2 linked regions of the Drosophila melanogaster genome follow. The protein of the gene in region 1 interacts with the protein of each later gene in a pairwise test. Each region holds a gene or a part of one and is shown in the gene's direction. Other genes may lie near its edges. The genes, in order: Mvl and Sap-r.

The links.
Region 2: the proteins of Mvl (region 1) and Sap-r interact in a two-hybrid assay, tested with the Drosophila melanogaster proteins (one large-scale study listed by BioGRID).

The regions. Positions count from the first base shown.
Region 1 is NT_033777.3:21,054,500-21,062,732, reverse strand, and holds the start of Mvl (malvolio), read left to right. Parts: upstream 1-2,079; 5' UTR 2,080-2,148; exon of another isoform or gene 2,149-4,264; 5' UTR 4,265-4,265; coding exon 4,266-4,472; intron 4,473-4,532; coding exon 4,533-4,717; intron 4,718-4,781; coding exon 4,782-4,946; intron 4,947-5,018; coding exon 5,019-5,157; intron 5,158-5,882; coding exon 5,883-6,038; intron 6,039-6,106; coding exon 6,107-6,265; intron 6,266-6,323; coding exon 6,324-6,769; intron 6,770-6,830; coding exon 6,831-6,946; intron 6,947-7,009; coding exon 7,010-7,101; intron 7,102-7,317; coding exon 7,318-7,388; intron 7,389-7,691; coding exon of another isoform or gene 7,692-7,773; exon of another isoform or gene 7,774-8,085; intron 8,086-8,233. Other genes in the region: cortactin, read left to right, coding at 1-507. UniProt on the Drosophila melanogaster protein: Putative transporter required for normal taste behavior. May be a nitrite/nitrate transporter.
Region 2 is NT_033777.3:30,882,842-30,890,696, reverse strand, and holds Sap-r (Saposin-related), read left to right. Parts: upstream 1-1,634; 5' UTR 1,635-1,763; coding exon 1,764-1,812; intron 1,813-1,870; exon of another isoform or gene 1,871-1,957; coding exon 1,958-2,036; intron 2,037-3,792; coding exon 3,793-4,075; intron 4,076-4,149; coding exon 4,150-5,977; intron 5,978-6,046; coding exon 6,047-6,522; intron 6,523-6,579; coding exon 6,580-6,721; intron 6,722-6,779; coding exon 6,780-6,784; 3' UTR 6,785-7,233; downstream 7,234-7,855. Other genes in the region: CG15547 (uncharacterized protein), read left to right, coding at 7,298-7,569, 7,626-7,714, 7,770-7,855.

The DNA.
Region 1 (8,233 bases):
GATGTGGTGCCCCAAATTGAGGTTGAGACCGTGGACACGCCTCCCAGAAGTGAGCCGCAATCACCAGTGTATGTGCCGACGCCTCAACCCGAAGTCCACGCCCAAGTCCAAGTCCAACCTGAGCCGCAACCTCAAGCCGATCCTGAGCCAGTAGTTGAAGAAGAGCCACTGTACCAGAACCAGGCCGAGATTAAGGCTGCCTCGCCCTTGCCACCAACGAATGGAACCGTTTCAGAGGCTGTTGCTCCGAGTGGCACCGCAACCGTTCCCGAGGAGGCAATCTACGCGAACTCAGACAATTTGGCCGACTATCTGGAGGACACCGGAATCCACGCCATTGCCCTGTACGACTACCAGGCGGCGGATGACGACGAGATATCCTTTGATCCAGATGACGTGATCACCCACATCGAGAAGATCGACGATGGGTGGTGGAGGGGATTGTGCAAGAACCGCTACGGACTCTTTCCAGCCAACTACGTGCAGGTGGTGGGACAGAACTCATAAAAGCTTCCAATTGAAATTCACGATAGAACAAAATCAAATTGTATTTACATACTAACGAAAACGATAATACTGATGTTGGATTATAAACCATATAAACCAATTCGCAACTAACCCAGCCCATTTCCCATCCATTGTTTACCCTCTTAACCCTCCAAATTATGTGCAACGAATGGCTAGATATTGAATTATTATTGTAATTTGTTATGCTAGCACTTAAAGTAACCGTGGTATTCCATTTTTGATATATGTATCATTTATTGCATTTTACATTCTTTGTATTTAACACATTTATTTTACCAAGAAAATATGCCAAGCTATTTTAGATATCTCTCATTTCATATTTTATGCATTAGTTATGATATTTGTGTCAAGTAACGATTTTGGTTTTTTTGAATTGTATAAAGTCTACGAGAGTTTCCCGTGTCAGGTGATCTGATCTAATGTTAAAGACGGATCTAATGTTGAAGACAGTCACAAACAAAAAGTCTGCTCTTTTGATAAAGAAATACATAATTAATAAAGTTAAATAATAACGAGTTCTCTCTTAAATTGTGGTACTGATAGTTCGGGTGTTTTTGTTTTTTTTTAAGGCCTAACAAATCATTTTACTAAGTAAAATGATTTCATTGGATACGGGAATTCACAAATTTCTATAAGAAGATAAGAACGAGCATATTGTTGGGTTCCTTCTAATATCACGAGGATATCTCTATTTTGGGGTAGAACTGTCAAGGCCTTTCTTGGATGGGCCGAATTCTTATCTGCCTGTTCCGAACGCATCGTAATCTGGCAAAGTAGAAATTGTTACATGAAACGAGCTACTGACATGATTCATGGTGCAAATGTGAGTGCATATGGGCTCAACAAAGAAAGAGTACTTTGCATTGTGGTGATTAATTAGTTAAAAAACATACATAAGTAGGATGTACGGCCATATTGTAAATTTGAGCGCCAATCCCAAAAAGACTTGATAAGATTTATCGCAATTATTGGCGACGGATCGTAATCGAAAAAAGTGTCAGACGAAATCAAAGTTTTGACTGATAAAGTTGATGTATAAATTAAACTTCAAGGAGGTATTACGATAAAGTGTGCGTGTTGGTAATAACGTAGATATTATTAACTAGTGATTGTAACTCAAAGGGTATGCAACTTAACTATGTATCCCGCATAACATTTCTAACGGTAACCTGCGGTCGATGTACAAACCGGTATTTCAAATGCATGTTCAAATCTTAGGCGGTATTTCTGGGGCCTTCAAAAATCCAAATCTCAGGCCTTATCAAAAAATCTCCCCTCAAAAAAAAGCAGTGGTCTTTCTCCCACGCACACACTCTCTCTCTCTCTCTTTCTGTCTTTCTTTTTCTCACTTGCCGACGCGAGAGAGAGATATTTTGAATAAATAGGGGCTACCGCAAAATGCTATAGTCAGTCACTCGATCGCGTGGGCTCAGAGTTAAAACTTCAGTTTGGCCGATAAGGTTAGTACTCTTGTCGAGTGTTGCCAGATTTCGGCAAGTCAAAGAAGAGAGAGTGGCCGCAGGTTGCCACATTGGGCACAGACGAAAAGACAGTGTGCATGTGAGAGGCGAGTGAGTGTGCGTGCAAAAGAAAGCAGCTGGTGGCAGAATCTCAAATATTGTGAGGAAAATTAATAAACAAAGAGCTGCGCTCACGGCTGAGCACAAATTGCCTGCACGCTCGTCAATTGTCGTTAACTAAGTCAGCAATTGGCAGCCAAACCGTCCGCTTCTTCGTCATTTCTCTGCTTCGTTTACTGCGACCATCACCACTCTTGTTTCGGCCGTACAACGTCACGGAATTCGTAAATTTCGTAAATTGCTCCGCGAGAAAAGCAGGAAAATGCATTTATAAGCTGCCACAAGTGCCGAGATTGTGATATAATAAAGGCGAGGGCTCCAATTAGTTAACCCCCAGTTGCAAGTAAGCCATTAACTGGTAGGAAGTGCTGTTTAACCTGAGTTGCCCAATAATTTACATCTCCATCAATATTTCGTGTGTGTGTGTGAGTGCGCACGCAGGTGTGCGCTAATAACAAAAACAACGTGGTGCACCCTCTCTCCGTCCGCTCTCCCTCTAACCGGCAAAGAGAGTAATGTATAATTCTTAACCGTAAATAACCGTAAACAGAAAACAATTGTTGACAAGCTATTCGCACTTTAAAATCCCCTAACAATGGATAGTTTTCCAGACACAATTCACTACTTTTATTGCCAGCGAGAACTGTCATAGAAATAACTATTTTAGGCAGCGGAAATCGTATAATTACTGTTTTAGTTTTTTTTTTTTTAACAAGCGACTTAACAATGTGGGCTGATAAGTATTGCTCTTCTATTTTCAAATTACTGTTATCTGCATTTGTCAATTTTTTGTTGTCAAGTGTTTTGTTTCGCCTGCTTCAATATACAATATAAATTGCTTTTGCCCGCTGACTGCGCAAAATGGTACGCAGTTTAAAATATATATTTTCTCTAAATAAACTCATGATATTTTTTGGTGCCACTTAATTTGGACTCTTAATGGAAATGGTTCGTTTTTTTTTTTTTTGATTACCAATTGTCATAATTTACAGCGTCCAACTGGGCACTAAAGTGGCAAAGGAACACGTACATAAATATGTGGCTGATTATACACTTATCGGCTAGAATTCCGCTTTTGGGGGCGTGGGTATTGCCATACAACTGGGTAAACAGAGCAGTCTGCGCCACACAATATAACACAAAAGTGTTCCAATGAACTAAACACCCTCCTCCGACATTTCGTTGTTACACATTTCCTTCGAGCCACTGCAGCGCGATTTAAGCTCCATTAATGGCGGCTTGATATGGCCAACTCGGTTACTTATAGTATATGCCAAATGTACCCGTCCAAGTGCCACATATAATGTGAAGTAGACATTGCACGATGCTCTCGAGCTCTTTGTCTTTGCTTGCTCCGATTCAATCATCAATGAAGCGATGTGGAAAGCCTTATAGCAGATATGTAGCATCAGTGGGGCAGTCGCGTTTGTCAAGGTGAGCCACTTGGCTCTACATTCAATGTATTGCGTTGAAGAGCAGCCAAGACTGCTCAGGCATCTTGTATACGAAATGCACTTGTAATCGCTTTTACCAAATAAACAGTCCAAAATTTCACATCGATACACGGGTCAATGGACTCGTGTTTATGTTCAAGTAGTCTTGTTTTCGACCATCCATATCTATACGACTGCAAATGCGAAATATCTGCAAGTTCTCTGGGTAAATTGGGCAGAGGCATTTCAATTACTGGACTTCATGAATCACTGAGCTCGTTTTATTTCCTTATATACCCGCATAATATAAGCAAATTTCAGTAATATTATGGACGCGTTATCAGTTACCCCCGAGCTAATGCCTCTCGAACTATTTATTGTTTTCATATTTTGCCACGCGCGTTTCGGAAAAAATAAAACGTGTTACTGTGACTTTGCTCTTGATTATGGTGAAATCCCCAAATAAAACTATATGGTGCAAAAAACTTAATTATAGCGCAAAATTATTTTGTTTGTTGTGTGCAATATGATAATGCTAATTGAGCTAGAATCACACACAGATGCTCAATTAAATGAAAATGGTGGGAATCATAAGCTGATGCCAGGTGAAACAATCAAATAGAAAATACAAATTAGAGTAGTCGACAATGGGCAGTGGACGGGAATATAGCAGCATGTGGAAACTCGAATTAGGTCCAGTCTAACCTCGCCTCTTCTGTGCAGCATGTCTTCGAATGAGGCCTACCACGAGCCGGGTGCCGGTGGAGATGGACCGGGCGGATCGTCTGGCGCATCCGGCGGAGGAAGTCAGCGGAGCAACCAGCTGCACCACCAGCAGATACTCAACGAGACGACCTACCTGAAACCCGCCGCCAAGCAGGCCTACTTTAGCGACGAGAAGGTCCTCATACCCGACGATGATAGCACAAACGTAAGACCCGCTTGAATAGCAATGCTACTCAAACTTTATCTAATATCTGGTGATCTGCAGGTGGGTTTCAGCTTTCGCAAGCTGTGGGCCTTCACGGGACCCGGTTTTCTTATGTCCATTGCGTATCTGGACCCCGGCAACATCGAATCCGATATGCAGTCTGGTGCGGCGGCCAAGTACAAGATCTTGTGGGTCTTGCTGTGGGCCACAGTCCTAGGTCTGCTCATGCAACGCTTGGCTGCAAGGTAATTGGGTCTCCACACCTTGCAAAAAAGATGATGATATAAGCGTTTATTATCTTCCTGGCAGACTGGGCGTGGTTACAGGCCTGCATCTGGCCGAGATGTGCTACAGACAGTACAAGCGTCTGCCACGTTGGATACTGTGGATAATGATAGAGATAGCCATTATTGGATCCGACATGCAGGAGGTCATTGGCACGGCCATTGCCATATACCTGCTGTCCAACAAAGTGTAAGCAAATCTAATGAGCGGATTATCGCAGTACCCAGTACTCATGCATGCGGTGCTTTCCCCATTTTGTAGAGTGCCTTTGTGGGGCGGAGTGTTGATCACCATTGTTGACACGTTCACGTTCCTGTTTCTGGACAAGTACGGTCTACGCAAGCTGGAGTTCCTATTCGGCACCCTCATCACCATTATGGCTGTCTCATTCGGCTATGAGGTAAGTTTAAAATGCAAAGTTGAAAAAAATAACTTAACTATAAAAAGTAATCGCCAAAATCAGCAAAAAATCCCCTTGCCAAATGACAATAAAGTAGTCAAGAGAATAAATTACCAGACGTGAGTGCAAATACGAATTGTTTAAACAATTGCAACGACCGCAATGGCAAATAATTTGTGAGATGCCTGTTTAGGTTTATTTTAATGATCGCTAGTAGTAAATTTACATTTGACTTGTCGATTTCTGGATGAAGTTAGCCCGTTAACTAGCCCCATATTCTTACTCTTAAGTTTACGACCGCATCATGTTAACGGGCCAGATTATAAACAATTGTACTTGAGCTTTCTGCCCCAGACGGAGATGATTAGATAAGCTTCACTCGCACACTAAATGGGGTTCTGAGCGTGGGTGCTGGATACTTCATCTTTTGTTTGCCAGGCACATGATGCTGCCGGACATGACTAACAATTCCAGATGGGATGTGTAATGCCAGTCTTATCAATTAGATTATACAATGCAGAATTGTACAATTACCGATGGTGGTTTTTGGAGATAATTACAATGGAAAAAAGTGGGGGTGCCTCGAGGGGATTTTTCTACGAGTAACAAGTATTTTGTTATTTCTAACCAAATCTCAATATAAGCTAGGAACAATTTGTTTTCTCCCCATAATCATTTTTTAAATGGTTTTAAGTCATAATTAATTTATTTTTCATATCTTTCAGTACATTGTATCAGCCCCTAATCAAGGAGAAGTTCTCGAGGGAATGTTTGTGCCCTGGTGCTCTAACTGCAATTCGAATGTGTTGCTGCAGGCCGTGGGTGTCGTGGGTGCTGTTATTATGCCGCACAATCTCTACCTGCATTCCGCCTTGGTTAAGGTATAGCACAACTAGCTTTTTGTGACTTCGTAATTAGATACCAATACATAACAATTTTCTGTTAACAGTCCCGCGATATAGACCGTCGCCAGACAAAGAAAGTTAGTGAGGCGAATTTTTACTTCTTCATCGAGGCGTCGGTAGCCTTGTTTGTGTCCTTCATCATTAACCTGTTTGTGGTGGCTGTGTTTGCCCATGGCATGTATGGCAAAACTAATAATGATGTGGTAAGTAGACTTTTGAATTTATGTGTAAAATGATTGCTAACTCTTTGTGGGCCAATAGGTTGAAGTGTGTAAAGACAAGTCGATGTACGAAGATGCCAAAATGTCTTTTGTGGACAATGTAAATGGAACCGCGATCATCGATGCAGATCTATACAAGGGCGGACTTTTCCTTGGCTGCACATTTGGAGCTGTCGCCATGTACATTTGGGGTGTGGGCATTCTAGCTGCTGGCCAGAGTTCCACCATGACGGGCACCTATGCCGGTCAGTTCTCAATGGAAGGCTTCTTGAATCTGCAGTGGCCGCGCTGGTGTCGCGTGCTGGTCACGCGCTGCATTGCCATTATTCCCACCTTCTGCCTGGCCATGTTCAGCAAGATGGAAGATTTGACTAGCATGAACGATATCCTGAATGCGGTGATGTCGCTCCAGCTGCCATTCGCTGCCATACCCACCATCGCCTTCACCTCGTGCGCCGCCATAATGGGCGAGTTTGTTAATGGACTGTAAGTGATACAGACACTTTTAATTGATTATCGTGCATTCTTTAAATTTTTGTATTCACAGGGGCAACAAAATCGTATCCATACTGCTCACCATTGTAGTGATTGGCGTTAATTTGTACTTTGTGGTGGTGCAAGTAGAGAATATGGAAATTAAAGGCGGCTTGCTGGCACTAGTCTGTGAGTAGTCAATTGCCACAATTTAAACCGAATCTAATGTATTTTTCCTTTTGCCAATTGCAGGTATTTTTGCCATTTTGTATATACTGTTCAACCTCTACCTTGTGATACACATGGCTGCCTGCATGGGCAATCAGCGTTTGATGAACAGCCGGGTAAGTACTTGGCCGCAACTAGTTGGGTCACTTATCAAATGGGCTTAGAGAATCACAAATTAGGCGAACTTTTTGACACATTTTAAAGCATCACAGATACCGCACTGAACGGACTGACTTTATCAAATTACGTGACTGACCACATATGGTTCTTGGGGGCTTTGAGGGCTTATGCCTACTTCATCAACTGGTACTCAAGGTATTCTCTGTTTACAGTGGGTGCAGCGTTTTGTGTTGCCAAGCCAGAACAGCTTTTCGATAAAGAACGCCAACTCGACGTACGCCAGGTATGTTCCCGATTTTTGATTCCAACCATTCAACCATATAACCATCCAGAACACACTCGAATGCACAAACTCTCTCGATTTGCATCTTCTTCCTTAAAAGCATTCTCTGCTAACCCATTGCTTGTGATTAAGTTTTTTCCCGCTCTGCTTTCAACCAAATCGGCCTAACTTCCTAATGATTCTAATCTTATCTCATCTGTACTTACTTTCTATTTACTAATCTACATTTGGTTATCATCTCTGAACTAAAACTAAACCCTCAACCCGTATTTTGCTGTGCTCTCTTCTTTCGATTTTTCACAGTGATGTAACCTTAGTTGTAGGCGATTCAGCTACTAACACGGTGAAAGGTCTTGATACCGTCTCGGAGAAAGTGCCTAACTGAATCATCCCGGTGACTCAATCAGGCCACACTCCCCCACACACCCTTGTGATATTAACACTAAATCACACGCTTAACACTACTAACACGTACCTAGTAGGGCTCTACGCAACCCTTAGCATTTGTAAGGCATGTCTTTAGGGGAACTACGATTGTACATAAAAAGCATTTACCCATCAACGATGGGGTCCTATAGATTATAAGCTTGACTGTGGTAAGTCTTCTATGATTGCTTTATCGAGCTATGGGTATTATGTACTCATAAAGCTTTGGCGCTTAGCATGTTAAATAAAGTTGCAGTTATCACTAAGTATTACTCGAGAAGTCTTTCAATTTATTGGTAATTGGTATTTGACCATAAGTGCGAATATAAGCCATTTTACGATTGGAATTTGATTGCACAAGGATTGTACAAGGAATTAGAACGAAATAAGGAAACAATTAGTAACTAAATGTTATATTT
Region 2 (7,855 bases), 9.8 Mb from region 1:
GCATTTAATTCTTTCCGAACCTGATTTTTGACCAAGTTAATTGGGAGGGAATAAAAGGCGTACTTTGTACTTTGTCCGACTATAACTTGGCTTGGCTGAATTCAAAGACCCAAACAAGCAGTCGCTTCTAGAGTAAACAAATTTATGAATGACATAAAAAAGCGGATAAAAGCAGAAAATTATCTCGCTCTTGAAACTCCGAAATTAAACGTTAGTCCAATGATTTACTGCTTCACTTATAAGCGTGTTAATTGCCTAAATTTCCTTCACTGCTGAACTTGATTACTTGTTCTTTGGCGGCGGTCCACTCAATTGCCATAATATCAATCTCGCAGCCAGACTTCAAGTGTCAAGTGCAGTGTCTGGCTGCAATTAACCCTCTACTACCCCATGGTACCTCGCCTAAGGTCACATAAACCTTAAATTCAATTCCTATTTAATCGAGTGCAATTTAATATTTCCACAATTTTTGGTTCTAAGTACCAAGTATTTCAGCAAGGTCTCAGTGGGTTAATCTCCGTCAAAGAACCGAAATGCACGGCAGGCGTTGCAATCCACGGTCAACACGACAGGTTTCAGGTTTCCTTCTAAGCCCCTGAACAGCCAAATCGTTGGTTTTGACACAGATATAGCCATGTTATGGCCGTATTGGCCGGATCGGCGCTTGCATTTGGCATTTCGTTGGGCAAACACCACCAGATGACCTCGACTTTCAATCGCTGTGAGAATGTGTCTGGCATTCTTTGCGAATGTATCTTCAGACGATTCTCACACAGATCTTGATACGCACCTCGGAATCGAGAATTACACGCCGATAGGCATCGCGAGAAAAATCTACTAGCCGGCCATTACGAGTGAGATGCATTTTCCCCAACATTTATGCCTGCGAGCTTTACATCTGGGCAGGCTCACATCAATTAACCCGCAATTACAATAGAATTTAATCATGTGCCTGCCAGTTCACGTCGCACAGTTGGCCAAGTTGGCCAAAGGGGGGTTAAGCGATGGGGCTGGGCAAAAAGGGGCGTATTAATAACCGCGCTAAGTTCAAGAACATCGCTGATGGTTATTGTCATAGTTTCGTCGCGGCAATATGTAATTAAATCTGCGGATTGCAATCGATTATAAATACATTGTGAGGCATTTGCGGGTGGCGAAGGCTTTGTTTGTTGATTGAGTGAGTGATTTAATAAATTGTTCCGACTTTAGGAGCAATAATTTTCTTCTACGATAATTGAAGTTATAATTTGAAGGACAACGTATTCAAGTACTCCATGTACTTAACACCCTATAGAAAGGTGGCCCAAATCTAATAGTTTCATATCGGTTACTTAATTGTTTATTATACCATTTTAAGTTTAATGATTTGCTGACCCCATTTTATGATAGCTTCCTCGGAGGTTTTTATGGCTTTTTGAAAGGCAAAAACAGATCTCTGTTATTAACAGAGTGCGGTTCGAGTCCATGCTCCCCCCTGATTGCTAAGTATACACTGGGTTGGTTTTATGCTAAAAGCATTATCCAAGTCTTGCTCCATAAGTATCGTTAAATAAATTTAACAATAATTCAATCGCTGACTGGTCGCACTATTATATCGCTACGGTATATATTTGACGAAACAGACGGCGGCCACACTACAGACAAATAAAAAATTGAACCAATCGTTGCAATTGCACTTCAGTTTTCGTTCAGAAATAAATACGTAGCTGCAAATAGAGGACTATCTCCGCCGACATTTAAGAAGTACAGTTAAAACCGGGAAAATGGAGAGAGCAGGCCTCTTGGCCGTTTTGGCACTGTGCTGCGCCTTTGGTGAGTGGAGAAGAGATGGAGAGAAGTGCGAAAAGCGACGTTGAAAGGGAACCACAATAATAGTTTAGTCATAGCTTATTGCGTATTCGTGCTGTGCACTCTGTTCCTCAACCGTTGCTCTCTTTGTTTGTTTGCTTTCTTGCAGGCGTCTTCGCCGCTGCCACGCCCCTTTTGGGCTCCAGCAAGTGCACCTGGGGACCCTCCTACTGGTGCGGAAATTTCAGGTGAGTGCAAAAAAGTGGGTGATACAATAAACGGTATATTCGGATAAATCGCTTGGTCATCGAACACCACAAAGTTCTCGAAGGCGAAAAGCTAACCTCTCTTAACCCCCCTCCAAATAGCGATATTACTTCTCCGCCTCACTTGCCCATTGTTTGCAGCGAAGACTCGTCTGTTCTGTTTTGTTCTCGGCCGATAAGACTATCACTCGAATCGGGAATCGAATCACTTTGCTCTACATAGCTCTATTCGCCGATAACCCCTGTTATTGCAAACTTAACACTAGTGCCGCTCTAATTGCGTCCCCTTATTTTGCGTTGTATTGTTTTACAGACTCGATGTTTTCTCTGAGTGCACTTTTCGCAATACTCTCTGCCTTCATATCCCATATTTCTGGATTTCCTTTGTCTGCACATTCGCTGTACAAATCAAATTAACAGTACCGCCAGTCGGAACATTTAGACGGCAGAGTTAAGCGCTCGTAGGGGGCACAACTTTATCGACACCGATTATATGCATGAGTAATCCAGAGGAGCAGATCGTTTTGACACAGCTCCCTTTTCTGTGCACCGCCAAACAAACCACATGATTGCTTTGTTTATCATTGTTAATTCGCTGTAGGCGGCAACAGTTGTTCCTTATCAACGAATTCTGACTAATCCCTCAGGCGTATGATGAGTACAGGGGAACATCCGAAAGTGCAACTTCTAAGCCTTAACACAATCACAATGCACTTGAAACCCTTATCTTAGCCATACTCACAATTGTAAATTCCTCAATGGAGTGATATTACATTGCGGCCACAAAGGATCACCTTACAGAAGCTATACTGTACGTACATATGTATGTATGTTACACCAAGATAAACTTGAAAACATTTACATGGACTGCATCATTAATAGAGTAAAAGCGATCAATAGGCAACTGAAAACATTTGTTAAGCACCCATCCATCGCTTATCGCTAGTCGTAATTCCTTTGTTTATTGATTGATTTATTTTTAAATGGCCAGGAAAATCCGCCATTTCTGGCTCTTAACCGTTTCTTTGTTTCTCAATTGCAGAGTGTCAAAAATTAAAAACGTCGCCATTGCTGTTGAAAATTCAGAAAACAATATCTGTGAATGCGCAGCCAAGTGAATAATATATACGTGGATACGTCCAGATATATCATTCATACATATGTACTGTTTATTTCCGTGCTTATCAGTGCTGATTTTTTGCTATTTAGACGCTTTTGTTTGGTATTCCTGGCGATTCCACCGCAGGCGTCTCTTCATGTTAATGGAAATTAGCACTTTCCGTTCGAATCAGTCAAATCGATTTATATTGAACAAATATAGGGTTACTTTCCATCAAAGTGTTGTGCTTTAAATGCTATTTGCTTATATGAGATGATATGGGCTTTGATTTAGTCAGCATAAGTTTGATGATTATTAAACCATTTCGTTCCGTCTCGGATGTTCAAAAATCAAAATTATTACCAGTCCAATGCTTCGTTGTATTCATTGAAGACCCAACATTATCATGTGAGCTGTGGGTGCATTCTTAAAGTGGATAGGGGACTACTCCCTTTTTAGTGGACTCTGGTCTTTGCTGACTCGTCGATTCTGGCTTGGCCACTCGATTACGAATGCGGGTCATTTGATCCGAACAGCGGCATTTCGCACAATCAGCTTAGTATCCGACTGCTTACTCTGATGGGTTTATCTTAACAGCAAAAAAAAAGTTTGCTAACTTTATGTCTGCTTCCTTTCCAGCAACTCCAAGGAATGTCGTGCCACCCGCCACTGCATCCAAACCGTTTGGGAAACCCAAAAGGTGCCGGTGGACACGGACTCCATCTGCACGATATGCAAGGACATGGTTACTCAGGCCCGCGACCAGCTGAAGAGCAACCAGACAGAGGAGGAGCTGAAGGAGGTCTTCGAGGGCTCCTGCAAGCTGATTCCGATCAAGCCGATCCAGAAGGAGTGCATCAAGGTGGCCGATGACTTCCTGCCCGAGTTGGTCGAGGCCCTGGCCTCGCAGATGAATCCAGATGTGAGTTTTCACCTCTACAACACATCCTCCTAAACCTTTTATTGATATATAAAATGTTTCCCTTCAATCCTCAGCAAGTTTGCTCTGTGGCCGGACTTTGCAACAGTGCTCGCATCGACGAATTGTATAAGAACGGCATTCAGGCTGGTCTTGATGGAACCGTCCAGAATGAAGATGACAGCTCCGAGGAGACCGAGTTGGCCATGCAGCCTAACCAACTTTCCTGCGGCAACTGCAACCTGCTTTCCCGCCTGATGCACTCGAAATTTGCGGCTACCGATCGCGATGACATGGTGGAAACGATGCTTCATATGTGCGGATCGCTATCTAGTTTCTCAGACGCCTGTGCCAACATTGTGCTCACCTATTTTAATGATATCTACGACCATGTGAGCAAGCACTTGACCACGGATGCCGTGTGCCATGTGTCCGGAGTGTGTGCCTCCAGATATCACCAGCATGAAGAGGAAAAGCAACCGCAAGAAGCCTTAGTTGCCTTGGATGCCGGCGATGATATTCCATGCGAACTATGCGAGCAACTAGTAAAGCACCTTCGCGACGTCTTGGTGGCCAACACCACTGAAACGGAGTTCAAGCAAGTTATGGAAGGATTCTGCAAGCAGTCAAAGGGATTCAAGGACGAGTGCCTTAGCATTGTTGACCAATACTACCATGTGATTTACGAGACTCTGGTCAGCAAGTTAGATGCCAATGGAGCCTGCTGCATGATCGGCATTTGCCAGAAGAACTCCGCCTCCTCGATGAAGGATGTCCCAATCATGCCGCTGCTGCCTGTTATTGAGCCGGCTCAGGTAAAGATCACCATCGAGAAGCTGGAGAAGCACGAGAAGAAGCAACTGGGCGCCAGTGAGCCGAAGTTCAGCCAGCAAGAGATCCTGGACATGCAGCTGCCCATTGATCACCTAATGGGTGCAGCTAATCCCGGAGCTTTGGTCGAGGGTGGAGAGCTGTGCACCCTGTGTGAGTACATGCTGCATTTCATTCAGGAGACTCTGGCTACCCCCTCCACGGATGACGAGATCAAGCACACCGTGGAGAACATCTGCGCCAAACTGCCCTCGGGAGTTGCCGGTCAATGCCGCAACTTCGTGGAGATGTATGGCGATGCTGTGATAGCTCTGCTCGTCCAAGGACTGAATCCTCGTGACGTGTGCCCCCTCATGCAGATGTGCCCGAAGAATCTGCCCAAGAAGGAAGATGTCGAAGTGTTCAATCCCCAGCCAGCCAGCGATGAGCAGGATCCCCCAACTTGCCCTCTGTGCCTCTTTGCCGTTGAGCAGGCCCAGATGAAGATCCGCGACAACAAGTCCAAGGATAATATCAAAAAGGTTCTGAATGGCCTTTGCAGCCATCTGCCCAACGAGATAAAGGAAGAATGCGTAGACTTCGTGAACACCTATTCCAATGAGCTGATCGACATGCTGATCACAGATTTTAAGCCGCAGGAGATCTGCGTCCAACTGAAGCTCTGCCCAAAGACCACTTACGCTCTCTGGGACTTGCGCATCTCGCTGGAGGACGATGTCGATGGTGAGGACAAATCCAGCAGTGAGGAAATCAGCTTCAATGACATTGAGTCCCTTGAGGAGCTGCCCCCTCAGCTGGCCTTCGACCCAGGATTCACCGCTGCTCCGAACTGCCTGATCTGCGAGGAGTTGGTTAAGACCTTGGAGAAGCGTATGGGCAAGCACCCCACCAGAGACAGCATCAAGCATATCCTGGAGGAGTCTTGCGACCGAATGAGGAAGCCAATGAACACTAAATGCCACAAGGTTATCGACAAGTACGGCGATAAGATCGCCGATCTGCTGTTAAAGGAAATGGATCCCAAGCTTATCTGCACGGAGTTGGGAATGTGCATCCTGGCTGATCTGGATGATCGTGAGTATTAAATTCTAGAGCTACGTTAAGTATACGTTTAAACTAATGAATTTCATTTTCGTAATACAGTCGAAGTGGATGAGGCTTTGAAGTACGACGTGATTGCTCTGCCGCGCCAGGACAACAAGCTGTCTAGCAGCATCAAGGAGCCGCCCACCTGCGTCCTTTGCGAATTTATCATGACCAAGTTGGATGCCGATCTAAAGAATAAGACCGAACAGGACGACATTAAGCGAGCGATTGAAGCCGTGTGCAATCGCCTGCCAGCCACGGTGCGCAAACAGTGCGACACCTTCGTCGATGGATATGCCTCTGCGGTCCTGAAATTGCTGAGCGATGTGCCGCCCAAGCAGGTGTGCCAGAAACTGCAGCTCTGCTTCAGCGTGGCCGTCACCGATGAAGTTTTGGAGTGTGGTGTGTGCCATGGAGTCACCCAGGCTCTGTTGCCCTTCCTGCGCGAGAAGAAAGATAACGTATCCGAAGTGACAGCCCTACAGATGACATCGGTGGGATGCGAGAACTTGCCAGCCAAGTACTACAAGATCGTATGTAACTTACAATCCTGAATGTTATAAATATCTATAAGTTCCTTTGCGTTGCAGTGCTCTGAGATGATCTCCATCTATGGCAGTAGCATTAAGAACTTGGCCAAACGACCCTATATTGATCAGTCGCATATTTGCGCCGAGATTGGCAAGTGTTTCGAAAGCGAGAAGTCTTCGCTGGCCTTTGCTAGAATTTCAGGTAAGCTATAGGTTGAAGGACCCAAACAATACATTTACTAATTTACTATCTTCAACAGCCTAAGTGATGCGTTGTGATGTACGAACCAGGCGCGGAGGATTTGAAGGAGAAGGGACCCGATCCCACGCTTTATATATGCATATACCTTTACATATATCTGTTTACATTCTATAACGATTTACTGTAAATGAAACATAATTACTTACTTTTCGTTTTGTACCCCGGTTTTTGGCTCTAAATTTGTTAGGTGAATTTGTGATGAAACTGAATTTATAAACGCACTCAAACGCCGGCTGAAAAAAGTTAAACTTAACTAAACTAACACTTACACTAAGCAGTACCCTTATCGTAATTTCAACATAAAAATTAGCGAAATTCACGAGCCGCAAACTTTGTATCGATATCCCCATGTGTCCGAAGTCATTTGAGCAGTGTGTGTAGTTTAAGATATCAAGCAAAACTGTGTAAAATACGAACATTGATCTTATAAATCATACAGAAAACTTAAACCGACATAGTAGCACATTATTGAAAATTCCCAATTCCCCTTGGAATAGTATATATTTTCTAGCCGACATGTTTGAGAACTCCCTGTTTATCATTAAGCCGGACTATCTGCACAAGCGGCGTCCGGTGCTCTTAAAGTTGCTGGCCGAGGGCTTCCAGATTCAGGGTAATCGACGGATTGCCTTTTCGCCAGAAACTGCCGCCGAGTTCTATGCCGATTATGCCGATGAAAAGGGGTTTATGCTGGAGGTCATTCTGCTTTCGAAGGGTGTTTCCGAGGCGTTCATAGTTACGAAGGAAAACGCCGTGCAGGAGCTGCTCAACATCATGATTTGTTATTTGTGAGTTTGCTTTTAAAATAAAATAATAAGTTCTCTAGGTACAATTTGACTTTAAGTGGTTCGGCATCGGATCTGGAACGCAATATCCATGTCACCAAGAACAGTTACAGCGTGGCTCGTGAGATAAACTTTATTTTTCCCAACTGTAAGTAGCGATACAGAGATTAATAAAGTAAAAAATAATATATCGAATTTTTCAGATATTCACGAGCCCCATCAAATGTTCGACCACAACAACTTCTGCAACAGGCCGATGCTTAAGCCGCTGCTCGAGGAGATCTACGAC